Linked DNA regions of Stegostoma tigrinum. The protein of the gene in region 2 interacts with the protein of the main gene of each other region in a biochemical or structural test. Links are inferred from orthologs where the notes say so. Each region holds a gene or a part of one and is shown on either strand. Other genes may lie near its edges.

Region 1 (7,126 bases), on a different chromosome or scaffold from region 2:
CAACTTGTATTTTTGTTTGTGTTTTACAGGTATTTGCTGGGCTTCTGCTCTTCACAAAATGATCTGGATATGAATATAGGAGGTATGATTAGTATCTTTGCTGATGACACCAAGGCTGATGGTGCAGTGGATAGTGAAGAAGGTTACCTCAGGACCTTCATCAAATAGACCAATGGTCCAAGGAGTGGCAGATGGAGTTTAATTTAGGGAAATGTAAGGTATCGCTTTGGTAAGGCAAACCCGGGCAGGATTTATGTAGTTGACAGTAGGACCATGGGGAGAGTTGCCGAACAAACAGACCCTGAGGGGCAGGTCTATAGTTCCTTGAAAGTGGAGTTGTAGGTAGACAGAGTGTTGAAGAAAACATCTGGCACACTTGCCTTCATTGACCGGTGAGTTGAGTATAGCATTTGGGACGTGATGTTGCAGCTGTACAGGACATTGACGAGGCCACTTTCTGAAAACTGTGTTCACTTCTGGTCACCCTACTACAGGAAAAATGTTGTTAAACTTCAAAGAGTTCAGAAAAGATTTACAAGGATATTGCCAGGATTGGAGGGTTTGAGTGATGGGGAGAGGGTGAACAGGCTGAAGCTTTTTTCCCTCTGGAGTGTCAGAGGCTGAGGGGTGACCTTATAGAGGTTTATAAAATCACGAGGGGCATGGATGGGTGAATAGGTAAGATCTTTTTCATGAGGTAGGGGAGTCCAAAACTAGAGGACATAGGTTTAAGGTGAGAGGGGAAAGACTTAAAAGGGACCTGAGGGGCAACTTTTTCCTGCAGACAGTGATGCATGCGTGGAATGAGCTGTCAGAGGAGGTCGTGGAGGTGGGTACAATTACAACATTTAAAAGGTATTAAGGCCACATTTTACATGCAGTAGTTATCCCCACACTCCTTAGGGACTTGGAGAAGCTATATCATGTAACTTAAACACTGGAGATGTATGATCTGAGGTGCCTTCACAAGATCCTCCAAACCCAGCAGCAAGGAATGTGGCTCAACAGCACCTGTATCTTCCAAATCAACATTTCCACAGGTATCACAGTACTAATCACGCAAAACTAGCTCCCCTGGGCAGAACTTGTTGGTCACATAACTAACATCAGACTCTCAAAGTTTATAGTCTACTAATACTCCTATGACAATGGAAGTTTTTTCAGGAGGTTCTTAAATCACATTTTCAAAACAATCCCATGGGCATCCCTGGCTTGTGACCAACCAACCGACTGGTTGTCAGGAATATAAAATCAAGGCACTGAACAGAATGCACAAATCTTCCATCAACTCAACAACCTGACCTTCAAGTGCCAACTGCCTTGAATGTGTAGGATCTCCAGATCACACTTTGGATTTATCAGCAATCTCAGACCCTCCCCAAAGTGGAATTTGATCTTGATTCTGAAGGAGTGCCTGAGTATCATGTTTCATTAGTTAGGAGATTTGTGTACAGGGGTGCAAGCATTGTACAAGGAAGTATAGGAACAGGTGAATCACAGTTCCAGAAAACAGGAAATGCTTAAAATATGCTGGGCCGAATCTTTCTGAAACAGTGAATTCACGATGCACACTTTTATTCATGCACAATTTGAGCTGCAGGTTCCACCGCAGAAAGTTGTGCAATACATTGCAAATCTCCATAAACTTGTGGTTGATTTGCTTCTTACAGACAGCAGTTTAACCATCCTGTTACTGTCTAGTGTTTTTAACAATGGATTTCTGCATTAATTGAACATTGGATGCACCAAAGAAAGCTTGGGTTTGAACTTAATAGTCTAAATGTTCTTTTAATGGCATGATAATTGTTGATGCAAGACCAATTAATCTCTCTAGCCCAGAAAGAAAGCAATTCAGACTGTTGACTCTCGATCTTACTGAAAGCAAATTCTTCTTCTTTGGTTTCAAAACTTCGTGTTTTCTTCCTTTTCCAATCCTTTTTCATTCATTCTTAATCTAACATTTCTTTTTCTCTGATAATAGACATAATGGGAACTGCAGATGCTGGAGAATCCAAGATAACTAAGTGTGGAGCTGGATGAACACAGCAGGCCAAGCAGCATCTCAGGAGCACAAAAGCTGATGTTTCGGGCCTAGACCCTTCATCACTGGCTCAGATAGTAATTGCTGATTCACTGATTTTGTTCAACTGTTAAGAAAGTCTACTCCGTCAAAAACAAACTGATATATTACTGATGCAAGTAAGTGTTCAATCTGAGCAATAAATAGCTGTGTTCTTGGATTGACAATTAAGCAAACTGTCACTGCTTCAGCAAACCATTTCTCCCTGGTTCAAGAATCTTGGCTGACTTGTATATTCTTTAGACCAGAAGTACTGATGTCAACAGCAGGAGTCGAGCTGCTTCTCTGCTGGGTTATGCTAAATCAGAAATTCTCAAACAGTGGACTGCAAGATGAAATTCTGGAATTGCGAGCTCCATGTCAGTGGTGCCTTCCCCTTGCAGCTCTGACCGAATGTTAACAGCTGTGAATCCTCTTTCATTCTTCACATACTTCTGTGGTTGGCAAGGCCTAATTACCTGGTCTTCGGCATCTGGTTTTTGATTATTAAAAAAGCCAGTGAAAAAGTAAGTTGTTAGAAATCCCCAAAGATCAAATATTTTGCTTCTTTCTTCCATCCAAATATCCTCCCTGCTGCTTGGCTTTACAATTCACACAAAGGCGTCATCACAAAACCTCTATGTGGTGTCACAGAGGGAAGCATTTGGGAAGCGCTTTGCTATCTCATTGCAAGCCAGGAACTTAAATGTTGCACCTTCTAGATTTTTATGCTTTGGTCTTATACTGAATTATGTCTTCTTGTACTGTGTTATTAGGACATTAGGGCGGCACAGTGACTCAGTGGTTAGCCCTGCAGCCTCACAGCGCCAGGAACCTGGGTTCGATTCCAGCTTCGGGTGACTGTCTGTGTGGAGTTTGCACATTCTCCCTGTGTCTGCGTGGATTTCCTCCAGGTGCTCCGGTTTCCTCCCACAGTCCAAAGATGTGCAGGCTAGATGGATCGGCCATGCTAAATTGCCCGTAGTGTTCAGGGGTGTGTGGGTTATAGGGGGGTGGGCCTGGGTGGGATACTTCAAGGGGCGGTGTGGACTTGTTGGGCTGAAGGGCCTGTCTCCACACTGCAGGGAATCTAATCTAATCTAATCTATTCAAAATTATGCTGACACCATTGGGTCCACTTTAGAAATAAAAACTAGACCTGATGACAATTCAGTGCGCAATAGAAAATGGAAAACATCACCCCCCTCCTTGTAATTCTGACTACGGCCATCTTGTACAACAATTTCTGTGCCTTTTCCTTGATCTTTAGATTTGGCTATAATTTTGAATCTGAAAATTATTGTTTCTTTGGAACATGAAAAAGAAATATACATTGGAAATATGATGTCATCAACAGTTTAAAAACTTACAAACCCTGGTCAATTCATTTTCGCTGCATTAAATGGGGAGCTTATGTTATGCAACTAGCTCTCGGGGGAATATCTGGCTCTATTATTCATGGTAACAGCTTTTTCTTGTAGGAATTAGCTGGTTTCATTCAACACTGATTTTACTCACCAATGTACCGTGGAGAGGACTTTCCAAGTCATGCCTAATTCAATATTGATCAATTTGAAGTTCAGTAAAAGTTCTGTGTATGTTGTACATGAGGTCTAATGAACAGATACACATGATTCCAAGAGAATCAGGTGCCATCAAGATACGTTTCCTGCAGGTTTGTCAGTTAGCTGCATTAAATGAAAATTTGGACAACAGTAATGTCTCTGATTAGTCTTGTGATCCCAATGAAAAGGTGAGTATTCAGCTTAGGCTTCCCTCCTCTGACTCCAAACCCTTCCGACCGATCGTTTAGATTTAGCAGCAGGACGATATTATCTTCTCAGAACTGTGGTCAGTCCTCTCTTACTCAGAAACATCCATTCCTGTCGGTAAATCAATTTAAACACTGGCACCTGGTTCTTTCGATGTTCGGCAGCAGGGAACAGTCTCGGAAGATCAGTGCCAGAGAGTCTTGGAGGGCCAGTGACGGTGGAGTGTCTTGGAGGACCGGTGAGGGAGGAGAGTCTTGGAGGACCATCTCGGAGGACCAGTGGCGGAGGAGTGCCTTGGAGGACCAGCGACAGTGTGGACTTTTGGAAGACCATCTTGGAGGAGCCTGAATGGAACGCCTCGTTGTGGCTTGGGGCACAGGCGTTTGCAAACGGACAGCGGGGACGGGGGCGGATGCGGAGTCGGCGGAGAGAGCGGCTGCTGTGCCAGAGCTGAGGAAGAGTGATCGCCCGCCCCTTTCTCTTTTCCGCCGCGGTATCTGCAGGGACGGTGCTTTGCATTCGCTTTGAAGAGACAAGAACCCCCGACCCCTCTCCTTCCCCTCTCAGCCCGAGGGAAGGGGACCGGGCGGCGACCCCAACCTGTGACTATATATCAGGCGGAGAGGAAGCCGGGCCGTGCCGAGCCGGCCGGGTAGGGGCAGAGAGCGACACAATAAATCTGCCGAGAAGCGGGAGTGCATAGCGAGTGAGGATGTAAAGGAAAAGGCTCCGAAAGACCGGGATTCGGGACGGACGCTCTTGGAAAGACCGGGGATGGGGCAGCAGCAGGCCCGTGTTGGCGGAGCTGCTGGTTTTGGTGCGGTTGGGGAGGCAGTCCAGCCCGGCAGGGGTAGGCTTGGCACAACGAGGCCCGGACATGGGGCCAAGAGGCGAGACACAGCAGCCAGGAGTAACGAAGCCGCCTGTAACATTTTCAGTCACCATGGTAAGACACATAGGGACCAGGATAAAATCCTTTAACTATAGCACAAATATAGGCAAATCCATTCCCCATTGTTTTTATTCCATTACTTTCTCGCTTTGCTGTTCGTCAGTTGGTGAGAAACAATAAGATCTCTCATCAACATTACTGTAGGTCACTTCAGGTGATATCAGCGATTTCCAAATCAGCACAGTTCGTGTTCCGAGAATAATTATTTTATTTCCAAATCCAAATCTGCATATCGCACCTTTTGGGTGGTCATCAATTTCACTTGGGCTTGTATTGGGACGCATACGGGATTACAAATCAGTGTAATTTTCTGCTGCATGAAAATCAAGGTTTAATCAATAGATTAAAGTTGTGGTCTGAAATGCCTTGTAACATTTTCAGTGGTATAAAGTGGTATTCGCACACCACCATGTCGTCATCATGACCTGTTTCCACAACTAGCAATGCTGCATTCTGCCCTGAATCAGCTCATCCATGCCACTGTTACTTGAAGACCTGACGATTGTGGTGTACTTTGACCTAACGTTTCATTGTCGTGCCAGTGCTCGTGCTTACAGACTACTCGAATGTCTAGTTATAGAATGCCTCAAGTTTAAAATGATCGTCCATCACTTTTTATTCCCCGTGTGACTGGTTCCCATCAGCCCCATCGCTGACCAAAGTATCCCTGCTGCATTTCTGACCTGTTGAATGTCTTTGATTACTTTCCTGATCATTCCCTGAACTGCGTGGCTTTAAGTTCAAAACTTCATTGTCTTTGGGCTTCTGTTTGCATCATTACAATGTTCCTTATCATTGACCTCTTTCACCAAACTTATGACCATCAGCTTGAATATTTCCTATTTTGGCTTTCTACCAAATGTTAGGTTACGTACTCTGGAACATTGTGTGATGTGAAATGTGCAAAATCAATCCAAGTTGTTCTGTAGATTTTGTTAGCATCCTTGAATTATTGAGATAAGAGTACTTCACAAGTTTTTTTAAATTTTGCATGATGTAATTTTTAAAAAAATGTTGATTTCTGGGCGGCTGAGATTAGCTTTAAGGTGGAACAGTTAGCATCCACCTTATGCTGTAATTTCATTGCATTTGTGCTGCGTCATAGTGTGGCTTTGGAGTGATGAGCTGAAAATAGATGTGAAAGCTGAAAAGAGCAAGTGCTTCTTGTGTTTGTTCAAGAACCTGAATTCAGGTGTTCAGATATTGTGATTTTGGAGAAAGACCAAGTGGTCTGTCTTGAATTGCATGTTACTGGATTTTGCTAAGTCTGTCCAGTGGATGTTTGTGGTTTACAAGTCCACTTCCCTTGCAATAACCATTGTTTTCATGAAGCCTGTGAAATATCCAATTTTTTTTTCAATGATGTAATAAACTCTGGCTAAATGTATAGTTGAGGTTCAGTTTCATTTGAACTGAAATTAATAAGCATTTGAGTTTTAAAAGAGCAATATGGATCGAAGATTCCCAGAATCACAACAATCCAGAATTGCATTTTATATTTGTGCCTAGGTATTTTGCTGCTGAATTTCATTTAATTTATTCAGATATTTATTTCTTAAGTCTGATTTTATTCCCTATTTCTTCTTCTTCACCCTTTTAAATGGCTACCAACCTTACTTGCAAATCTCCATCATTTTTTTGAATATCAAACCACAAAGTCAATTGATAGTTGCCTTGTTTGCTGAGTTGAAGGTTATTGGTGCACTGCTTAGCCTGTAGAGTAGACATTTTTGGTCTTGTGCAACGTTATTTACCTTGCTTCGTAAGTGTAAAACAACTTTGTACTGACTCCTGGGCAGTGGAAATTGCCTATACAGGCCACCCTGGCTGGCACTGAAAGGACCAGTTGTACCTTGACTCAAAACCTGCTATTCGACCGAGTGCTTGTCGATACAAACTGGTTAGTGATGTCCCATGTTTCCCTTCCTTTGATTCAAATGTTTGCTGGTGGATCTTGCTCAGAAATGTTGCTGCATATGAGTGCTGAGGTAGAAACCTTGCTGTATCTGGGTTGAACATGTCAGCATCACAGAGGAGTTAGAGAGCTACTGTATGGATGGTTTCCGCCAACCTTTCATCATTTGGTGAATGTATGGTAGAGTTATGTTAACAAAGATGGGAAGCCAGAGGATTGGTCAATACAGTGTAGAGCTGGAGTAACACAGATCAATCAGCATTGGAGGAGCAGGAACACATTTTGGGTTTATACCCTTTATCAGGATTGAGGATAGGTGTTGTGTGGAGGATTATAGTAGTAATGTGTGTTGTTGCATTTGATTGAGCGTCAGCAATAGGGTAGTTGATGACCTTCGTAAAACATGCATTCTGTATTTGGTCGAGACT
Region 2 (7,882 bases):
AATCCAGTATATTCTCCAGTTTTGTCTTGATTCCCAAGTGTGTAGGGCCCAAAACCTTAGAATCCTCTTCCTGAGCATCTGCCTCTCGAACTCCCTCTCCTTCTTCCTTGTTACAAATAAACAAGTGATTTCATCAAGCTTTTGGTGCCCTGTATTTTTGTGTGGTTCAAAGCAAATGTCTTCAGCTAACAGTCCTGACAAGCACCTTGGTGCATTTGACTATTAGAGTCATACGACTTGGAAACAGACCCTCCAGTCCAACTATTCCATGTCGACCGTGTTCCCAAACTAAACTAGTCCCAGCTGACTGTGTTTGGCCAATATCCCTCTAAACTTTTCCTATTCATGTACTTTTCCAAATGTCTTTTAAATGTTGTACCTGTACCTGCATCCACCACTTTCTCTGTCAGTTCATTCCATACACTAATCACTCTCATGTCTAAAAAGGTTGCTCCTCATGTCGTTGTGATTCACACTGAAAATCAAACCCCACTCCTCCTGCAGTCATCACTAGAGTTAAAGATTTGAAAAGTAATATATAAATAATCCACATTACCTGATTTTTAGACACAGATTGACAGAAAGCACAGACCAGGTTCTGTACTATTCTTCGTAAGTGTCACTAATTATTACAGCTGATTAGATTCTAGCTATAGATAAGCAATTCAACTAAATTAAGAAAACTCTTCAAATTACAACTCAAAACCCCTTGTAAACTTTCTCTTACAAACACACAAATACAAGAGACAAAAATAAACAGGGTTAAGAGACACACGTGGATGGAGGGCAAATTTAGAAAACAGTTCCACAGTATAATTTCACAAGATCTCTTGGGTTGGTTCCTTCTGATCCAAAGATTTCTTCTTCCAAATGCCTTCACTGATTTGCAAGAGTCACAGGTTCACTTATGAAAGGTCTCTGACATGTCCAATTTGAAGTCCCAACTTGCAGCATTTGCTGAGGCTTTCATCAGGCTTAAAGTGGCTTACTGCAGAGAACTGAACGAGAGAGAGAGAGAGAGAGAGAGAGAGACTGCTTGGCTGCTGCAGACCTGCTGGCTTCTTTTATGATCTGACCTAGCACCTCCGTTGGCCTGTAGGTCAGCCTTGCCCATACTTATCGTGGAGACAGGATTCCTCACATCAATCCTACTGAATAGAATTCTAGAGTTAATTATACCCTCACTCTAGGTATAGTTACTGAGTATGTGCAAAAGGGGCAATGTCATTGTGAGGTCAGATCACATGGAACTGGTGCCTGGGTCTGCAGGACTGTAGCTGAGATGTCCAATCTTACCATTCTATGCATGCAATCAAAATGCACTTCATTCACAAGCCTTATCGATGACAATATTAATTAATTAATTGAGTTGTGCTGGGATAGATCCATACTAAAGTGGCCATACTGCGTGCGGTCACACAATGCGCTCTCTTTCTTCGAAATCGTGGATTTTGAAGCCAGGATCTCTCCAATTGGGCCCAACATTCAAAAGAGATTAACTGATAGACAAAGATAAGGATGAAGAATATGCCTGAAGGTATTGGGAGCAGTATTTAAGGATGCATCCAAATGGAAATTAGATTCTTATAAGTGCTACAAAGAGTTAATTTTACAGGCTGTGCAGTCCTCGAGAGAGGTCAGGAAAAGTGAACTCTTCTTTGTTAATTGTCCACAGATACTGCTAGAGCCGCTGAGCATTTGTAACATCTCCTGCTCAAAATGATGTCTGTCCGTGCTGGGAACAGTCAGTCTGCGATCAATAATGAGCATTGAATGCATGAGGGACTCAGCATTGGTTGCTTCGTCGTCAACAGGGTGTCTCTGGAATACTTGCTCCATTGTTCCCGTCGTGTTTCGCACTCAACGTCTCCGACATGAATGAACAGTTTGGTCATTGATTGCTCGCCCTGTCTTTCCCCGGCCCTCCTCCACCCAACACATTGTTCATTCACCAAACCCAGGTTCACTCAGTTCCGGAAACCGGCAACACTCAAAAGCTGTGGAAACCAATTTCAAAATCTGAGGAAATCGAAAATTATAAACATATTTTTCTGAAAAAAAACAGAGTGCCTCGGTAGCAAATGAAACTGACATTGTAGTTTAGCCTTCATTAGTATCAAAACAGGCGCGTCAAACATACAGCTGACCTGGAAAGATGTAACAAATACAACAAAGTTTATAGTTTTAAAGAATAGCACATAAACATTAAGGGGGCAAGAATCGAGCTTGGAAATATTTATGTTAGTGAACCTAAGCAAATCTTGGAAATTCAAAAAGTCCAGGAAATTGCAAAACAACAAACCTAATTATGAATTTGACACAAAGAGAACGTGAGGAAAAATGTCAAAATCAAATATTGACAGAGCCTGAAGAATCTTGAAAAATGGGGAAAAAGAGGTCAAATAAACTTAATCAAAATTAGGCCGCCCCAGCATTAAAAATTGGTCGATTTTTTTAAATTCAGAAGCCAAAATACAGCAGATCTCAATGCTCAGTCATGATAAGCTTGTACAAATCCACACTTACTGACATTATTGGTGATCGAAAATTTGGAAATCGTCGGAGAATTTATTGCCTTGGAGGCGAGCTATAATGCCACCTCGGAATAGCAGTTAACTGGAAAGCTAAACGCTGATAGTAAAAAGTAAATAAAGTAACCGGACGAAAACAAACATGGACAGAGCCCGAAATATTTTCAATTCAAAAATTAAATAACATTTGAGAAAACCTTTTTTGTAAATAGCGACGTCTTTCACCATGTATGCATCTAAAACAAAACTCTTGCCTCTAATGTTAATATTGTTCAAATAGAATCTGAACATTGCTTGTGCGTGAAACATGTAAAGGCACCGACTTTGACACAGAACAACCCTACTTCCAAATGCAAAACCTCCCAAGACGTTATTATATTTTCATTTGCCTCAGGTTTAAAATAGGAGATTTCATACGCATTTATTTTGCTAAATTCAAGGTCACGGGAAATGTTGCGAGAATCACAGAGAGAAAAAAACAAAAATAAACAATGCAAACGATTGCAAATATTTCTGGATAGATAAAATCGAGCAAAGTCCGGGAAGAAATTAAAACCGAGCCATCTTGGGAAATTAAAAGCTGAAGCGGTTTTCAGAAATCATAAAGGTGTCATTAAAACGAAGGGTTTTTTTAAATCAGCGATTTGAATACGATTTGCCTCAGATTCCCTCGTACCACTAGGGAGCGCTGACATATTGACAATATCCGTAAAGTAAAACTGCGATGCAGGGTACAAGATTCGAAGTCAAAAGAGCGAAGCATTTCTGTCGGTGGCACACTTGGAATGCAGCAGAAGTCTAATGGAGACGACACGCATTCTCCAAACTTGCAAAATTCCTCAGAAACGCCAACTCCTATACTGCTCACGGGCTGGGACACTTTTTTTTGAAAGAAAAAACCCAGTTGTGAATATTTACTGCTCTCAGTTTTTTCCTAAAACATCTGTTGTCACTTCTGATGGTTCGCATTGCCCTTAGCAAGCTTTGCATGTAAATATCGAAGTGACCGCAGGGGTCCTTTTTTTTAATGGTAACGGATAGTCGTTTAAAAAAAGACAGTCACTGATTTTGGTGAGGTAATGTCGCTCAGTTGTGTGTGATAACACTTCTGGGGAAGAGAGGAAAATACAAAACGTCTACTGTCACGAATTATCTTTACAAGCGTAGTTTTGGGTTTTTTAAAATTTCTTTTGGTTTCTAATTCGGTTCATCCTGCGATTTTCTCACTTTAGGGAGCAAACAATGAAATATTGAGCGTGCGTGTGTTGTAAAATCGTCTGCAGTTAAAAACATTCAGAAGATGGCAAGTCCACGATTGGGAGTGTTTATTGCACTGCGCCTTCTGGCACGTTGCGTCTGTTTACAAACGATCGCTTGCTTCCAAGCCTTGTGAGAAATTTGCCACAAGAAAAAGTGCGCGTCTGAAAAGTGTGCGAGCTGTCTCGCCAGACACTTTTGTTTTGTCACTTGGGTCAACCCTGAATCTTTCGGGTTCCACGCTGAAGTTCTTCTCCGGGGAAATGTTTAAAACGACAGTATATTAAATGCTGGGCTTTTGTTACGCGTTGAGAGACCGCATGCAGATCTAAAAGGCTACACTCTGGGTATGCACACATAGTAATGAACATAGCCATTGTATGCAGCAAGTCCGGGGAATGCATGGGAATGCGCCGTGTGGAATCAAATGCATAACATTCAGAATGGTAAATCAAATGGACGCTGGGGTTACCTGAATGATTTGTGCCTGGGATGTGAAAATACACGATTGTAAACTGCTCGGTTTGTGCAGCTGGCTAGGTTTGTAGGAATGCGAACGAAGATCGACACTTGTTACGCTTTTGGGCTCAGTCAACCCCATAATCCCAGATTAGAGTAGCATCCCAACCCACCACGACTACCCAACCCCCGCCCCCACCTCCACCACGACTTCTCTCCCCAGGGCACAGGTCCCCATATCTCCACAATGTACCAGGCAATTATCCCGAGAAGTGATCATCGCAAAACTATACCATGGTTAAAAAAACGGTCAGCACCTATACAATTCCGAGTCGGAAAGTAGCAGCGATGGCATGGTCACAAAGTTGTAACTACAAATCCCTGAATGCCCTGCCTGGAGAGGGTGGGGTGTTTTGGAGGGGCGGGAGGCGGGGAGGTGGTGGGGCGTGGCCGACTTTCCCTGACGGACGTGCGGAGGAGCCAATGGTTAGAGAGGTGGCAGGTGCCGGATTGGTGAAGTGGCCAATGAAGCTGATAGGGGGGCGGGGAGGGGCACCGGAGTGGAATTTGTTCATGGTTCTGTTGGGCGAGAGCGACCAATCCAGCAGTGCTGCACTGGGCACAGACAGAGAGAAAATGAGCAGCAAGCCTGGCACATAGACCGGTCAGAAGCACTGAACCCCCAGCGCGGAAACAGCGCTCTGAATTTAAAACATAACACCGAGACAACAGGAGGGAGCAACTTACAAACAAACCCAAAAAACCCCCCAGCAGCAACAGCAAAAAAAGTTAACCCTCACTTTCTGCGGATACAGTGGTAGTCATGTAATTTTTTTTGCTTTGAATGCACAGACTGTCTGACACAGCCGCTCCCGTACCAACACAGAGAGAGGGGCCAGAGAAAAAAATAACTGGGAGAAAATGAAGTTGGCCGCTCTTCTGTTTGTGAGTGTTTTCTGTGCAACGTTGAAGGTGCAGGAAGTAATTTCACAGTCAGGTAGGAGACACATTGTCCTTTCTTGCTTTTGTGTATATGTGCGTGTGTAAAGGGTTGGTAGTTGGTGGTTGTAGTGGGGGGGGGGGTGCGGTTTAGTGTCGGTTAGCGCCTTCCTCCTCTGCGTTGTCTGTCTGGCACGATTATTGACATGGCAAAGTTGGGTGTGAGGGAAAAGTTTCGTTGCGATTGCCCTAGCTCCTGTCTGAAATGGTTGTCTGTGCAGAGGCATTGTTTTTATTCTGGTGCCACACAAAATCACGCCCCGCGGTTACTAAGAGGCGTACAAGTGTAGCAACAATGTGAATTTACCTTCAGTGTTCCTCACGGGTTTTGCAACTTTTGAGTCATGTAACAGTATCTAATGTGGAGGCAACTGACAGTTCGTGTTATGTGGGGAGCGGGGCGCCTCATGTAGCCTTGAGAGTGTGGTATGAACGCCGGCTGTAATCCGCCGGGGAACTTTGCGGTATCTTGTGTCTAAGATTGTGGGGAGATACGAACCCGGGTTAACTCCAAACCAAAATGCCACGGAGCGTCGACTAAATTGCTTTGAGATTAAACAAATTAAAAGACAAAAAAAGAGACAGCCTGTCATTGCGTTGTTAGATACGCTTGAAGTTAGATGGGAGCGCAGTACTTTTAACGATGCGATGGGGGGGCCAAGTGAGTTGTCAGGGTGTTTTGAAGTCGGGTCCGGCTACATTTGGATGACCTGACCGGGGGAGATCTGTTACGATGAACGGGTGGCTGGACGGGCACCAAGCCGCCTTCGTGCCTTTTGGAGCTCGTTGAAACAGCGGCTTCGGTTGCATCGTGTTCACATTAAACGAGAGAAAAAAACAAGGGAGAACCTGAGAGTCGCTGTGCGCTTTTTCGACCCGCACGTAAGATCGGGCAGTCGTTACAAGCGGAGAGTTTTTGTGTATTGTTCATCCAGCCTCAGTGAATGAGATGGGAGTGGGCGCGCACATTACAACCAGAGGAGTTGGGGAGTACATCAGAGATCCCCAAGCCTGTTTTGTCCTCAGCCGGGAAAAGCTGCAAAGTTAGCCCCCATCTCTTTCAGCCTTTCTGTCTCAGCTGTTGTGCCTGATCCCAGTCAGGATGAAGAAAAGCCAACGCAATACAGTCCAGAGATGACAGTCTCTCTCTTTCTCAGACACACACACAGTACAAGACACAGTGCTGAACATCTCGTCTCCAGAAGAACACGCTGCCCACGGCTTACCCTTCCCCTCGCCTTGACCATTCTCGCCCAAACTGTGGCTGTCTTCCCTCTACTTCCTCCGCCCTCGCCCACGCCACCACCACCCCCCCCCCCCCCCACCCTCACCCCGGCACTGCCCAGTGCTTGACGTGAAAAATGATCTTCCCTTAGACTGGGTGAGGTGGTTTGGGTGGGTGAGGGGGCTGAGTGGAAGGGGACCTGTGTCAGACCTATCGTGCACAACAGAAGCTTCGTCGGTTTGCTTTACAAACAGCTTGAGCCGCCCCACCAGGCAGACAGCCATGGGCAAGTTACGGGTTTTGACGAGGGTGATTTGTTTGTTTATTTGAGTAAGCGTTCACTTGTCAACACCGGTCAATGTAGAACAAGTGCTGGGAGAGTGTCATCAGCCTCCTCCACCACCCCCGCCCCCATGCAGTCCCAAGTGATTGTCCACGCTTTGAGATCTTGATGGATGTTTCCAGGCGCTGAGAAAGCGGCTTTGCTCAGAGAGCATCAACTGGCGCATCTGACAGTCGCGGATGATAAAGGGGCACCGTCACTGAAACATTGGAAGCGCCTTCCAGGAGAGGAGCGATTCGTGATTTGATGGGTAGATCAGCGGGGACGAGAGGTAGATAAGAGGTTCCCCTGGCAGGTTTCAGGTGGGACTGTTGGCGGCTGGTAAACACCAGGGTCCCATGCTGGTTTCAACTCAGATGGGCCGTGGGATTTCTGCTCGCCAACTTCTCAAGAGTAACACACCCCCCCTCAACCCCTGCCCACCCAACCCTCCATCTCCCCCACAGGGACAGTCTGGACGGCAAGTCCTGCAGGAATAGTTTAGGACGCGGCCTTTTCTGGGGAATGGCTTGCTCCTTGAGACCGCACGCTCGGGATAGAGCCGCGGGGGTGTTGAGACGAGATGGGTTACGCCTTGCCAGGCTTGATGCGGGAGCAAGAAGGTCCCCTTTTAAAATGCAGATCGGGATTGAGCTGGGGCATCGGCTGGTAACGGGGCTTTCCCGTTGGGCCACCACGGCCTGGCGTGGCTTTTGCTCACGGAATCTGTGGTGGGATTGGACGGGGGGGGGGGGGGGTGAAACCCATCCCTGAATGGGGCAAACAGGAAGCTGAACTGGGCACTGGCCACAGTGAACAGTCTGTTCAATGAGTCAGTGCAGCCCAGCCTTTCGAACTGTCTGGCACAGGCTGTTTTTACTGCTTTCACTGTGCTGCACTGACATAACTTCATCTCCCCATCCTCTTGCCTGCACCTTTCATCTACTCTGCCCACCCCCACCTTTTGATGTGGCCACCAGTCTCCAGATAAACCACCTTCCTCTCCCCTCACCACTTCCCACCACCCCCCACCCCCGCCCCAGCTACTCCCGCGGGAGAGGTGATATTGAGGAACCTGTGTGTCCAATT
Region 3 (6,877 bases), on a different chromosome or scaffold from region 2:
CATTTCATCAAATGTTAAAATGAAAATGTCTGAAGTTATATTGTTAAGTAGAAAGTGGCAAAACCATCTGATTTGTACATTGTATTCCATCAGCAAATATGATGTTCTAAAGCTATTTAATATTTCAGCATCATCTATCTTAATTTGACAAGCTTGAGCTAATTATCACAATGCAAGTAAAAAGTGTCTAATAATTATCTGAGCACTGAATAAAGATTTCTGTGGATCTCCTTTACGTCACAACAAACCTGATATAAATTCTTAAGCTGTAAAACTACACAAGACTATGTGGAAGTAAGTCTTTGAGATGTATAATAGCATATTATTACTAATACCAGGAAATTTGACAACTAACATTAGAAAATTTGACTCTACATCAACAGTCGCAATGACAACTTGAACAGAAAAATGTGAACTTTAGTGTACTAAGGGCTACATTTATAGACTACATACCAACATAAATAGTTAATGATTGCATATACTTCACATTCATTGGCTAAGCATAAGCAACATTTGTACGTACCACAGTAATCCAAAATGAAGTCAGTATCACTCACATCAATAGATTTTCGACTTCCAGGTTTTCTTTAAACACAAGAAAAATGTTATAGCTGAGCTATTACAAAAAGAGACGGCCTGCATGGCAAGCATGCATTTAATAGTTGGAAAATAACCTAATGCAACCAAGAGGTTTATCCAATACAAAAGATCACAGAAAACTTGAGTTTCCCGTGATAGAAGTTAGGAAACTACATTCTGGCAGTCTTCATAACACTCACATATTTCCAGCCTGTTATAACCCAAAATGGGTCATCTGAACAACGTGGTAAGTTTTAGAGGTGATTGATGTACTGTTTGACAAAATAAAGCATCCCTCTAAGATGTTAATACCGTTCACTGAGTGCCATGGGTACCTAGTATAATGATAACGTTAAGTGCAATCGGTTGGCTTTTAAAGCCAACCTTAGATTGACCTAAATGGTTCCCTCTAAGTGTTTCTGCTCCATTTTGTTATTTTATGTGCCAAAACGATTCCCTAAAAAGTAACACAAAAGAACATTTCGTAAAATAAAATGTTAAGATAAGCTTCACAAACATAACGAAGAGTGCGAGCTAAAATAAATCTTGCTCCCAAGAACGACCATAAATGTACACGTGAAAGAGGAGACTGGTAAAAATACAAGGCAATCGCTCTCAGACCAAAACTGCAAACTGTCCGAGTGCAACCTTTCTCTTGCCATGTAAGAGGCTGCAACGAAACATCCCAAAAATGCTTTTATGATGTCGAATTACACCGCACTAAACTAAACCAATAAAGCAGAATTGCAGCAAGATTCCCCCAGCCGTTGTCCAATAGCTGGTGACTGTTTTGCCGACCACCAATTGCTAATTACCTACGGCTACTGATAAGCTATTTGAAATGCTTACGGTCTGTTTAGCGCTCCTGAGCCACCCACCTGCATAATAATAAACAACGGATACAAACACCAGATGCAGTTTGTTGACAAGCTAATTCAGAAACCTCGCGGGCTGCAGCTCACACGGCGTTCTTCAAAAAGGTATCGAAAAACCATGCGTCATTCACTACAAAACTTAGCACATCGAAAACTAGCCTTTCTTTAAAATGCTAAAGCAGAAAATACAGGTAGGTATTTGTGCACACTTTTCCAAGCCAATCCTTCATATGAAGTCTTCCACGAGCATCAGATCTCAAGATCGTAGAGGCAGGGACCAAAGTACAGAAAGGAAATAGTGCTGAAGTTTTGATGTAGTCATTAAAATGACATTATCCAAACACGCAGAATTGATATCGAAAACGTCCGCAAACACAAAGCTCCTTCTCATAGCCCCAATAATCATTTCATCCTGAATCAATGTGGGTTACAATGGAGGTTACAATAACCTGCAAACACTTCAACATGCAATTCCAACTGTCATAGCGCAATAAAGAAATTCCAACCCTATTAGCAAAATACGAGGGGGGGAAATAACTTACCGCAGTCCTCACACAAGATCCTCCCAATATCTTTTTTTAGATTCTTTCCGCCTGTGTCTAGTGGAGCAAATGATGTCTTGAATACTAACGGCTCATCTGTTGGCTCCATGAAAAAGATATATTTCTGGTTCTTCTTTACTTTGATGCATGGTGTTTCTGATCCAAAGTCCCCGATCGTGACAAGCTGATCCCTCGCTAGACCCCCGCTATGAACTGGCCACACGTCCAACACTTTGACATTAATACTGTAAGGCTCGGTGGTATGATTTGGGACTGACTGCACTTTGCCTTCGATCACCACCGCTGAACGATAGGCTTGGTCCTGCAAAGAATTTAAGCTCGGGGAATAGCAGGCAAACGACACCCCCGCGACCAGCATGGCAAAATGGACAGCACCAAGCCCCATGGTTGAAAGGCACGGCCGCGCTCGGCTGCACTGAGGTGTAGAGCGGCGCTGAGTTGGAAGGCAGAGTTGTGACAAAGTGGGCTGCAAATCGCCTCGAGTTGCACGGCTGAGCAAGAGACCTTGCGTAAGTGTTCATGGCATTTGGCTGTTTGCATGGGGAAACACCGCTCGGAAGCGGAAACGGCGTAATACAGTACTGCTGCCTAAACCTGTCACTGCAACGACTGGCAAATATCAACAAAATCCACTTTGTTTATTAAATGAACACAAAGCACTTACCGTCATTCGGTAACAGCAGCGGCTCCATCGCATTATGTGTCATCCAACAGGCGCAGTCTTCTGCATCCCACTGAGATCCCGAACACCTAACACATCGCCTTATGCTTTCCAGTTCTATTAACGAAGTTCATACGATGTTAATAATGCTGTCGCTATAGTAACTAAACTGAAAACTAGTTGCCGAGAACAGCAGCTTGTATGTTCCACAAACCTATCCCTCCATTCAGTGGCAGCCAATGGTTTCTGTGTACATTACATTGGGGTTTTGCAGTCGAGAGCTCGCCCTGCAGCTCTGCATAGACACATTTCATTTCCCACGAAGGTAGCCTGCTTCAAAGGCTTTGCTATAGAAACGGTTAACTGATCATTCTCTGGAAGGCAGAGGCATGAAAAAACAAGCGTTTAATAATTTGAGCGCGGGTCCCAACAAGGGCCAGTACCTCCTCACATTCAGTGAGTCTTTATTCTCACACATGTATATATATATCTCTCTCTCTCCTCTCGCTTTGATCTATTCACAACTTGGCTGCATTCCGATCACATCCACTTTGTGCTACAGACCGCTGGGTATGAGAATCCTCGCTGCTGCCTGCACACCTACTCTGAACAGAAACCGCGGTACTAGCGAAAGAAAACAACCTGAACAGGAATAGGAGGAGCGACAGAAGATGCAACAGAACATCCGCAAACCACAGGTACGGAGTATACTGTCACTGACCACGTGAAAGCACGGTCCACCCTTCTGTACAGGTGTTTGTGACTTTCCATGAACAGTATGCGTGTGTTCGTTCCATCTAAGATCACGCCTGTTTTAATCAGAAGTCGTATTTCTGCGTGTACTGTTGAGTACCACAGTGTAGTCAGGAGCTGAGGTCTGATACGTTCCACAGCACACGACTGCGGACCACCAGTGAGGTATCCCTCGTCATGTACAGCGACTCCCAGCGTTTAGATTGAAATCGGCTTTTACGGCAAAATATTTCCTGCAAATTCTAAGCAGTCCGAAAAGCCTCTACCACACCCGCCTAAAACTTCTCAGTGTGTCGAGGCTTGATAAAGAGAGCTCTACTTTGTGCATACCTTCCCTAATACCAGCTCGTTGGCTCATTGTCCATTGGTGCTTCATCCTTAGACATTATTTTATTTCCGGAAAGGTTAGCCATCGCCTTCCGATCTCAGATGCAAAGTGAAGAGGTAGTTTCCAATGTCCCTGAGTCAGACCAGGAATTGGAACCTGAGCTGTTAGTGCCTTTTCTGCAGCACAGACTAGCTATCTAGACAAGCGACTCAGGCGACTCCCAAAGAAAGTCTGACAGAATTTATGAGTGTATTTTTCTGTGTGGCGTTCCATACTTTTGGTTTTACAGGGAGGAGGCAAAAGCGTGGGGCCGTTGCAGGCCTAAGATGGTATCTGCGGAGGCCACCCATATTTCTCACCGGGGCCATGTGGACACCATTCTAAATCAACCATTAGCCCAGGCCCTGGGTGAGTGCACCAGCAGACCGGTGAGGAGGCAAATTGTGACAGCAGTCAGCGTGTGGATTCTTCCGTAACACTGTACGGGGGAATTATCGTACAGGAGCATGGAGGACCCTTCCCTACTCTGACCAGCATGATTTAAATCAACTACTTTTCAACAGTCACTGCATGATTTCTGCTAGCTGTGGCTGTGTCAGTAGAGGTAAGAACACAAAGTGCTGGAGGCACTCAGTCGGTCAGTCAACATTTGTGAAGAAATAGAATTAATGGCTCAGATATTTGGATACCCAGAAAGTTGTTTGAGCAGTGTTGACAGCCCTCTCTGTTGTAACTCAAGGGAAATTGAAAATTCTGATGAGCAATTGCCCAGAAACAGGATCCCTTCAAAAAAAAGCATTAAAGTAGGAAACATCGAAGAAATCTGACTGGTTCTAAAGTTAGGTGATTAAAACCATACTCTAACGCCAGGGTAACAACGAAACTGATCTCTCCCCCACTCATCATTAAGTCAGAAGTCACACTATACCAGGTTAGAGTCCAACAGGTTTATTTTCATCAAAGGAGCAGCACTTGTGATTTCAAATAAACCTGTTGGACTATAACCTGTTGTCGTGTGATTTCTCATCTTGTCCACTCCAGTCAAACACTGGCACCCCCACATCACCACTCATCACAGACAGCCCTCAATTGCACCCCCCTTGACACCTTAATCCCTAAACCTGTGACAATCATCCCAAAACTACGCTCTTTCCCTGACCCCTTCCTGACACAGCCTGACAAAGCCTTTCTGGATAGCCTGACCTCTCCCTGGATCTGATACACCTGCTGACCTCACCTGCTGCCCCCAAAAGCATAAGACCCTCAGGCTTAACAACCCGTCTCACATATTGGACTTGACACTCCTCACTCCTGACCAAATCCTGGCCTGACTCAAAACTTCCCCTTCACAACCATACCCCAGCATCACCCTCAATAGAGACCCCCCTACACACACCAAGCTGACTGCTGAAAAAGGGAGCATTTTTAGATGAGGATCTTCTGCACAGCTGAATTGGTGGACCATGGACAGATTCATAACAGAAAGACCCTGTCAAGGAATAACAGGTTAAAGACAAATGGATTATTTTTAATCCAATAAGCATACCTGACTGGACTATTTAGGCCAATATTACAGGGTAATGACTGCTGAGTATTTCCAGCATTTTCTGATTTTATTTTCACATTTCTAGTAAATCATTTTTAAGTCTGTAGAAGTGTTTAGACCATATGGCAATAAGAAATAGGACCAGGAGTAGCCCATTCAGCCCCTCAAGACTGCTCCTAGTGCTACTCAAAGTCTGCAGGGATTGATGCTGCAAATAGTGGATGCTTGAGTTCACTTCAAAGGTTCCCCTCAGACCAGTTGCTCTCATTCATTGGTATTGTAGTTTCCATAGCCCTGGTCCTCAACATAACAGGGAGATTGAAAAGATATGACATTGAACAGGACAAGATGAATGAAAAGGGAGCAGAAGGAGGGGAAGGAGGATGCATAGCAGAAGTCCATATCTACCCAGGGTCTTCAGTGAGCAATTCTCCTATATCAAACTCAGAAAGGAACAGTCTCTGTTTCATTAAGGAGGCGAGTACTGAATTCTGCCACCTCTGACAGGCAGACATTCAACCTCAGAGTCTGAGTTCTGAAGAAGAGTCGTACTGGACTCAAAATGTACCCATTGTTCCTCTCTCCACAGATGTTGCCAGATCCACTGAGTTTCTGCACCATTTCTGTTGTTTGCTTTAGGGCATTGCCTGAAGATGTAAAGGTGACAATGGTCACCATGAGCTTCAGTACACTAGGTTTCTCCTAGTAAAAGCAGACAAAACAAGTGCATGATTTCACCCAGATAGACCCACAGTCCAGGTTTACAAGTATATGAAATATAGGAGAGTAGCTAAAGTAGATGCTGGTCTCTGAAAGACAGACGCAGGAGAAATAAATCAGGGAAATGAAAAAAATGGCAGAATCATTAAACAACTAATTTGTGTCTGTCTTTACAGCAGAAGATATAAATTACAGATGAGCAGTAAAAGGTAACCAAGGAGTTAATGATATTAAGGAAGGCAATTAATATCAGCAAAAAAGTAATATTAGATTAGATTCCCTACAGTGTGGAAACAGGCCCTTTGGCCCAACAAGTTCACACTGCCCCGTGGAGCATCCCACCCAGACCCATCCCCCGATAACCCTCACATCCTGAACACTATGGGCAATTTAGTATGGCCAATCCATCTAGCCTGCACATCTTTGGACTGTGGGAGGAAACCCACGCAGACATGGGGAGAATGTGCAAACTCCACACAGACAGTTACCTGAGGCTGGAATTGAACCCGGGTTCCTGGCGCTGTGAGGCTGCGGTGCTAACCACTGAGCCACCGCGCCACCCATATGGGAGAAAAAATTTTGAAAACTAGATAAAGGGGAAACTGTAGCTATAGTGTACTTGGATTTCCAAAAAGGCATATAGTACAGCATATGATAATTAAAAGATTCACATAAACTAAAGATTAGATAACACTTAGGGATAATACATCAGTGTGGATAGACGGACTAGTTTAATAACAAGAAGACAGGGAATGAACAGAGCATTTTCAATCATATGTACTGTGACTAGTGGAGTACAACAAGAATCAATTCTGGGGTCTCATCTATCTACCATCTTCCATTAGTCAGATC
Region 4 (6,980 bases), on a different chromosome or scaffold from region 2:
TATCCTGTTCCCTTTTCAAGGGTCGCTGGACTCAAAACATTAACTCTGCTTCTCTCTTGCCACAAAGGCTGCCAGACCTGCTGAGATTCTCCAGCATTCTCAGTGTTTGGTTCACATCCCCAGTATTTTGCTTTCACTTAAACAGTTTAATTTCCTGATTGGATGATTCTTGATTCTCCGCCAAACATTCCAATTGTCACTGATAAATGAAAGTGGTCAAAGAAAATTTTCCTGCTGTCTCAATGATTTTTTTTCTCCTGACGTCCTCAGAGGTGTGACCTGCAGATTAATTTTTAAATCCTGGAGGTTTCAGAGACAATCTGGAGAGCTAGCAACACTAACTGGATTGCAGTTCACTGCAAGCCACTATCCTTCCTCATCCAGGTGTTGCATCATTTCAGATCAACTACAAAAGATGACAGCCATAGGGTTAGGTTAATCGTCTCATACCTAAACTTGTCTGAAATGAGATAAATCATGAACCAGTTCCAGTGACATTGTATAGAATATGAGAATGGTCTCAACTCAGAAGGAGGCCAGTGGCAAGTTGTGTTCCAATCATTCCCCTTTCTGCTGTCACCCAACCAGATTTTTCCCTTCAAGTAGTATCCCATTCCCTGTTGAAAGGCAGAGAAGAACTAGTCATGACCACTGCTACATTCTCATGCAGTGTTTTATCGAAACTAACCACCCATTCGGAGAAAAAAAATTGTACCTTTTATCACCTGTAGTTCCAAAGTCGATTTAAATCTACAATTTCTGATTATTGGCTCTTCTGCCAATTAGAATATCCATTTAAAAAAAACTCCATGTGCACACTTATAAATAGCAACTTATAGCAATAAAATAAGCAATTGTTTGGGGAGGTGGGGAACTGTTTGACTTGAATAGTTTCACATGAACCATCTTCTAAAGCAAACTACATCACTTGAGATGAAAGCAGATAAAGGCAAAGATATATACCACGAAAGAAGGACTAACTGCTAGCTGCAGCTGTCTGTACATACTCCTTGGCTTTGTGTCCTTCTGTTTAAGCGCTCATATTCTGAATTGATTTTGACTTCAAATATCCAGGGTAAAGAACTGCATGCAAATATAAGTAAAACTGCCAGCAAAGCAATGGTGAAAGAAAGTTACTCAGGCAGGAAATAATTTCTCAGATTTTCAGCAAAGGTGTGGACGTGCATTGGGTCCAGAATAACATTAAAGTTATTGAAAAAGTGCCATTGCAACCAGTTAAACAAGTGAGGATACTGAAATATCAAAAGTTTGGCAGGCAGCCAAAAACTAATAAGAGAGAAAAAAAATCTTGCAAAGTCATTGTACAAAGTGGACAACCTACAAGGCAACATTAACAAGATTGTCTTTCTATAAGTCTCTGGGATAGACTGGAATCAATTAGTTCACAGCAGTGACTGACCTTGAAGCTCACCTCAGAACCAGGCAAAAAAGAATCACAGGAGAGAATACATACATGCACAGTACAGATCCTTTTACAAGAGAATAAATATTGATTATTCCGAACAAATTATATACATATAGACTGCCTTTCTGATTAATCTCCAGCTGGTGTTTCGGACTAAATTGAAAGCAGCTCGTGATGAAATAGGGAGTATAATTTTTAAATGGGTTGGATTTTATTCATGGCAGGGTCAGAAAACAAATTAACAAAGATTTTGTTTAAAACCAGAGTTTGCATCAAGCATGGGAAGCTTTTTTGGAATACATCGTAAGTCAGCAGAATCAGGAGCAAAGATTCACAAGGTTACAAAACATGCTAACAGTAGCCCAGCTACAGTCCTATGGTATTATTAAACACAAACAACAGGCTTCTGTCAATGGGGGGCCCGTGACTTCAAAAGCTATTTCCCAGTGCACTGTTTTCATACAGATGTTATTTTAGAGGCGATTCTGCACTACTTCCCCTATGAAAGTCTGCATTTGTTGACAAAATCTAAGCCAAGTAAACAAACCCCTTACCCTGAACGAAATATTGAAGAGAATGTGAAATAGAATCTTTGTGCTGTTGATGATACCATGAACGAAAGTCAAGAGGATTCCATCCCTTGCAAAACTCATTTCTCTTGAGGACAAATGGAAACATTCAGACCAAATAGCTTTCTCTAAGAGACAAAGTGTTCTGTTTAAACATTAAAGTAGCAGATTACAACAGGCTGAGAATTTGCCTCCCCATCCACAAACCCCGCCTCCCCCACCAAGAATTATAAGGAAAAGAATGTGTTACTTACTAAACGCCGGTGCGATAATGAGGTTTGTATCTGTCATTTGGGGAAGGGTTACAAACGCTGATTCTGTCACTTCGCGGTTTTTGGTGACGACAGGGTCTGGGGAGAAAGATTCGAGTACGACAGAGGGTAGGAAGGAAGGAGAGGAGGTTGGGGGCTGAGGAGAGGGGCTAGCATAAGGAGTTGAGGGGAGCACCAAAGGGTCATCAGGATCGTTCACCGTCTGGATCAAATCAGATATCGGAAAAGTGGCGGTAAAGGCAGTTGATGGTGGCGGCCATTCGGCCACTGTTGCTTGGTCAGCAGAGATTATAGGACCCTGCCCTATGCGCTTGGGATCAAGGTGCGTCAGAGGTTCGTACTCAAATATCTTGTCCACAAAAACCCACTTGAGGCCAGCAATGCAAAGACCCAGGCTCACCAGACAGGCCATGATGGGTATGATGCAGATCTTCTCAGAGTTTAAGCAAGTCCGCACGTGTTCCACCTCCATGCAGATGCAGCAGGTAGCAATGAGGCCGCTCAGCCCCAGCGCTCCATTCTGGCCTGCCGAGGGAGCATCCTCCGCAGTGTCTTCGGTAGACGGGGTCAGGCAGGGAGGGGGGTAGCGATCCGGAGAATTTTCACTCCCTTCCTCTGACATCCTCCCGGTGCATTGAAGGTGCCACCGTTCTCTGCAACCTCTTGAGTAACAATAGGGGAAGTGAGCGAGAAGCAAGGGCGAGCGAGGTGTCCAGGCATCAAATGGACAGCGACAGTCCTCTGGGTGTGTGTGGGGGGGGGGGGGGGGGAAGGAGGTGGTGGTAAAGGAGGGCGGGGGAGGGGGCAACAGTGGGGGTTCAGCAGCTCTGCACCTTGTCCACTCAGTCTCTCCAGTGAGTGCACAAACGCTCAAGTCATCTCTGGCTGTGCTTGCTCAGGTTAGCTGCCATTTATTTTTTTTTAGATTGAAAGTCGCTCCTGATCTCTCTCTCTCACCTGGGAGGATTGGTAAAATAAGAAAAAAAAAACTCCACCCACACCCACAACCACACACACACACACACCTTCAGGAAAAACAAATACAAGGCCGCGGCATCCTGTTCTCACTGTGACTGTGCGGCTTGCTCCAGAGCAAAGCTAGAGTCATTACCAAACGGTACCAGGTGCCCGCTGCTTTCAGCGCAGTGTGGCAGCGGTGTCATTAGCTGGGAGGGTGGGAAGGGAGGAGGGGGAGTGGTGGTGCAGAGACAGGGAGAGGACAAACAGAACTTCCTCCTCCTTCATCTACACACAGACAGATATAGAAACACACACACTGGGGGAAGGCAGGTCTTGCAGAAATCAGACACACACACACAGCACGCACCATTCAGAACCGCACAGACAGCCTGCAACTTCCTCCTTGATCCAATTAGCCAGGAATGAACCATCCCATAAGAGGAAAAAAAAAGGCAGGCAGCAGGGCAGCTTCATCCCCTCCCTAGCTACTGTAGACGAGTCAGCAATTGATTATGCTAATACACAGCAGCAGTGTATGGGCCAGAACAGAGAGGCTGGTGGAACGAGCAGACGCTGAACCTCTCAAGGGAATGGGATTTCCTCCAGTAATTTCACTTCATGCGCTCCCACAGATCGGATGGCGTCCCGACATCCAGCTTCATCACAAATGATGACTAACAACTGAAGCGTGGATGGTTCAAGGTGGGCTAAACACAGGCAGATGGAACGAACTTTAGATATTTCACATGATAAGCCTGGCTTTCGGGAGTTCCATTGCGTCTCATATAAGTTTGATGGGGGTATGGGGGATATTTAACAGAAATCCAGGCTTAAGGTGTCAGACTCAGGGAGGTACTCTCTTAAATCACTCCAGTATCAGAAAAGCTTTAATTCAGTCCCCTCCTCCTAATTAATCTGGCGGTGATGCCCCTCGCTTATATTTTTTAAAAGTAGATAAAATTGCAGATGGAAAGACAATTACTTCTTGGGCAGTGAGTGTGATTTGCGGAAAATAGAGAGAGTGAGTGAAAGCATTTTAAAAACAGGACACATACATTATAGAAAGAGTGCTGTGAGACTGTCATCAGAGAGACAAGGACGGGCTTCCACCAAGGCTGTCATTAATACAGATCTAACAGCAGATCAACACAGTCTCAGCATGAACTGGACTCTGCCAATGTCGAGGACGGTGAGCTGAGAGATGGAGCTGTACGCACAGTCTATGAATACGGGAGCAATTTACCACATGGATACCCTAACCCATTTCTCACTGTGCTAAATTAATAAAAGGATTAATGTTTCCCGTCCTTTCTGGAATGGACTGGTGCTGAAGCAACGTTAGGAAAAGTAGGTCAGAGAACAGAGTGACTCCTGTGCGCTGCTTTTCACAGGAATACTTCCTAACAGAGGCAATGTACTGAGGGATTTAAAGCAAAATTGGTCAAAGGTACACCAGGAGAGATCACATGACTCAATATGCAAGCTCAGGAGAACTCCTGCGAAGTGTCAGCGCCCTGATCCCAAATGGATTTTGTGCAGGATATTCCCTTGTCATCAAAAGAGCTGAAATATGTCACTTTATGGAAGACGTATATAGGAGCCAACACGATTGAACAAGTTCAAATTCCAAATTGGGAATTTTAATTCAAATTTAAAAATTTAAAACAATCATAATTTAGTTCTAATAATGGTCACAGAATCGGTGTCATTTTAAATTAGTCCCCCCCCCCCCATTTCTAAATAAAACTGCCCTGTAGAGTAGCATTACAGAATGGTTCCAGCACAAATTTGGCTTCTTGTGTAAATGCTGGACCTCAGAAGGTGCAATTCATCTAAGTCCCTGTCATTTCCTCACAAACCTGCAGTGTCTTCTTCTTTAGATAAATTCTCTTATGATAACCTGAATTCATCCTGCGTCCAACAGCTCACAGGCGGAACATTCAAGGTCCAAACTACACACTACATTAAAAGAAAAGCTTCCTCCCTTAGGCTAAGTAATCTTTTAGCCATCCTCACCTGGTCTGACCTTTTTGTGTCTCTGATCCCATATCAATGCAGCTACAAATTGTTCCTAAAGGGGCTCAGAAAACCAAGCAGTTATAACAAACTACAATCAGTAGGTCAAGAAGACAGCCCAACATTGCCTTTTTCCGGCAGAGAGGAATCAACAATAGATTTCACCCGGCCAATAATGTGTGCACCTAAGAATTAATATTTATGAAAATTAGTTTGGAAAATGTTCACCTCCGTGAGTTCTTAGGAAAGGGACGACAGCGCAAAAGCAGCACAGGAATCTTCATTTGCATGAACCCAGACATTTGCGTTCTCTGGGATATTAATTTTTGGTTGATATGTGAAAGATTTGATTTTAAAAGAGATAATTTTGGTGAGGGTGTAAGGGAGCACAGATTGTCTTTTGAACGTGTCACACAAAGGAACTTCATTGTCTGTGCAGCAAGGTCCTATGTTGCGATTGCAGATAAATAATACAGGTTAAATTTGACACCAAAATGTAAAGCTCTGAGACGTGTCATTTGGAAATAGGTTTTAAACTGCCACACACTGTTTTACCAGTGTTTCCTTATATCTTTATGCTGCGTCCAAATGGGCACCAAATAGTGGATGTGCTGACAATGCACTTGTAAAGGAAGATAGTGTCATTGATGTGGTGTATCTGCACTGCACTGAAATGGGTACCAGAAAATGTGCACCTATTATTGCTGTCTCTTCCTCTCTGGTTCACTGCTCTGCTTGCCATCATAATGGTTGTATCCCTTGTTCCTGAGCAACTCCTTGCTGCCTAGCTTGCCATTCACTGAGGGGAGTGGGGCAGCGAGCAAGTCAAGGGCTTTAAAATTCATATCAGGGACACCAAGCTGCAACACAAAAGAAAACTTTCAGCGTGAAGCGGTTACCCAGGTCCTATAGCCATCACTGTCTGTAAAGCCACTGTGATTGCATGGTGCCCCTTGCAATTTTTTAAAAAAATAAGGAACTCTTGGATGTGGAAATCACTGACTTGGTCAGCATCATTGCCCAACTCTATGTGGTGAGCTGCCTTCCTGAACTGCTGCAGTCTGTTTCATGTAAGTTGACCCACAAAGCCATTGGTGGGGGGGAGGAGGTCCCCGATTTTTACCCAATGACAGCGAAGGAACGGCGATATACTTCCTGTCAGGTTGGGTTAGTTATTTGGAGGGGAATTTGCAGGAGTTGGTAGCCCCCTTGTCCTTCTAGATGGTAGTAGTCAAACATATAGAAGGTGCTGTCCAAGGATCCGTGATGAATTTTAGCAATGCATTTTATGGTTGACCTGCATTGGTACTACTGAGCATTAGTAGTGGAAGGAGTGGATATTTGTAGATATAGTGCCAATCGAGCAGGCTGCTTTGACCTGAATGGTGTTAGCATCTTGAGGCAAAAAAGAAATTGCTGGAAAAACTCAGCAGATCTGGTAGCAAGCATAGAGAGAAAGCTGAGTATCAGAACTTAAGCTCTAATAGGACTTCCAAAATATTAACTCTGCTTTCTCTGCACAGACTTGCTGAGTTTTTTCAACAATTTCTGTTTTTGTTTCTGATTTCCAGCATCCTTGGTACTTAGGGTTTTTTTTGTTTAGCTTCTTGAGTGTTGTTAGATCTACCCTCATCCATGCAAGTGGGGAATGTTCCATCACAATCCTGATTTGTACCTTGTGGATAATGGACAAGCTTTAGAGAGTTAGGATATGATTTACTCGCTGCAGGATTCTGA

What was found.
Region 1: the proteins of receptor tyrosine-protein kinase erbB-4-like (region 2) and abl2 form a complex in vitro, tested with the Homo sapiens proteins (2 studies listed by BioGRID and IntAct, with this or other methods). The link is inferred for Stegostoma tigrinum from reciprocal best matches to the Homo sapiens genes ERBB4 and ABL2.
Region 3: the proteins of receptor tyrosine-protein kinase erbB-4-like (region 2) and pro-neuregulin-2, membrane-bound isoform form a complex in vitro, tested with the Homo sapiens proteins (2 studies listed by BioGRID). The link is inferred for Stegostoma tigrinum from reciprocal best matches to the Homo sapiens genes ERBB4 and NRG2.
Region 4: the proteins of receptor tyrosine-protein kinase erbB-4-like (region 2) and nrg1 form a complex in vitro, tested with the Homo sapiens proteins (2 studies listed by BioGRID and IntAct, with this or other methods). The link is inferred for Stegostoma tigrinum from reciprocal best matches to the Homo sapiens genes ERBB4 and NRG1.

What each region holds. Positions count from the first base shown.
Region 1 is NC_081361.1:43,180,104-43,187,229, forward strand, and holds the start of abl2 (tyrosine-protein kinase ABL2), read left to right. Parts: upstream 1-4,119; 5' UTR 4,120-4,605; coding exon 4,606-4,777; intron 4,778-7,126. UniProt on the Homo sapiens protein: Non-receptor tyrosine-protein kinase that plays an ABL1-overlapping role in key processes linked to cell growth and survival such as cytoskeleton remodeling in response to extracellular stimuli, cell motility and adhesion and receptor endocytosis.
Region 2 is NC_081360.1:9,781,261-9,789,142, reverse strand, and holds the start of receptor tyrosine-protein kinase erbB-4-like, read left to right. Parts: upstream 1-4,860; 5' UTR 4,861-5,168; coding exon 5,169-5,244; intron 5,245-7,882. UniProt on the Homo sapiens protein: Tyrosine-protein kinase that plays an essential role as cell surface receptor for neuregulins and EGF family members and regulates development of the heart, the central nervous system and the mammary gland, gene transcription, cell proliferation, differentiation, migration and apoptosis.
Region 3 is NC_081366.1:39,056,926-39,063,802, reverse strand, and holds the start of pro-neuregulin-2, membrane-bound isoform, read right to left. Parts: upstream 3,006-6,877; 5' UTR 2,993-3,005; coding exon of another isoform or gene 2,893-2,992; 5' UTR 2,796-2,892; coding exon of another isoform or gene 2,682-2,795; 5' UTR 2,403-2,681; coding exon 1,997-2,402; intron 1-1,996. UniProt on the Homo sapiens protein: Direct ligand for ERBB3 and ERBB4 tyrosine kinase receptors. Concomitantly recruits ERBB1 and ERBB2 coreceptors, resulting in ligand-stimulated tyrosine phosphorylation and activation of the ERBB receptors.
Region 4 is NC_081354.1:13,474,134-13,481,113, reverse strand, and holds the start of nrg1 (pro-neuregulin-1, membrane-bound isoform), read right to left. Parts: upstream 3,007-6,980; 5' UTR 2,890-3,006; coding exon 2,250-2,889; intron 2,003-2,249; exon of another isoform or gene 1,981-2,002; intron 1-1,980. UniProt on the Homo sapiens protein: Direct ligand for ERBB3 and ERBB4 tyrosine kinase receptors. Concomitantly recruits ERBB1 and ERBB2 coreceptors, resulting in ligand-stimulated tyrosine phosphorylation and activation of the ERBB receptors.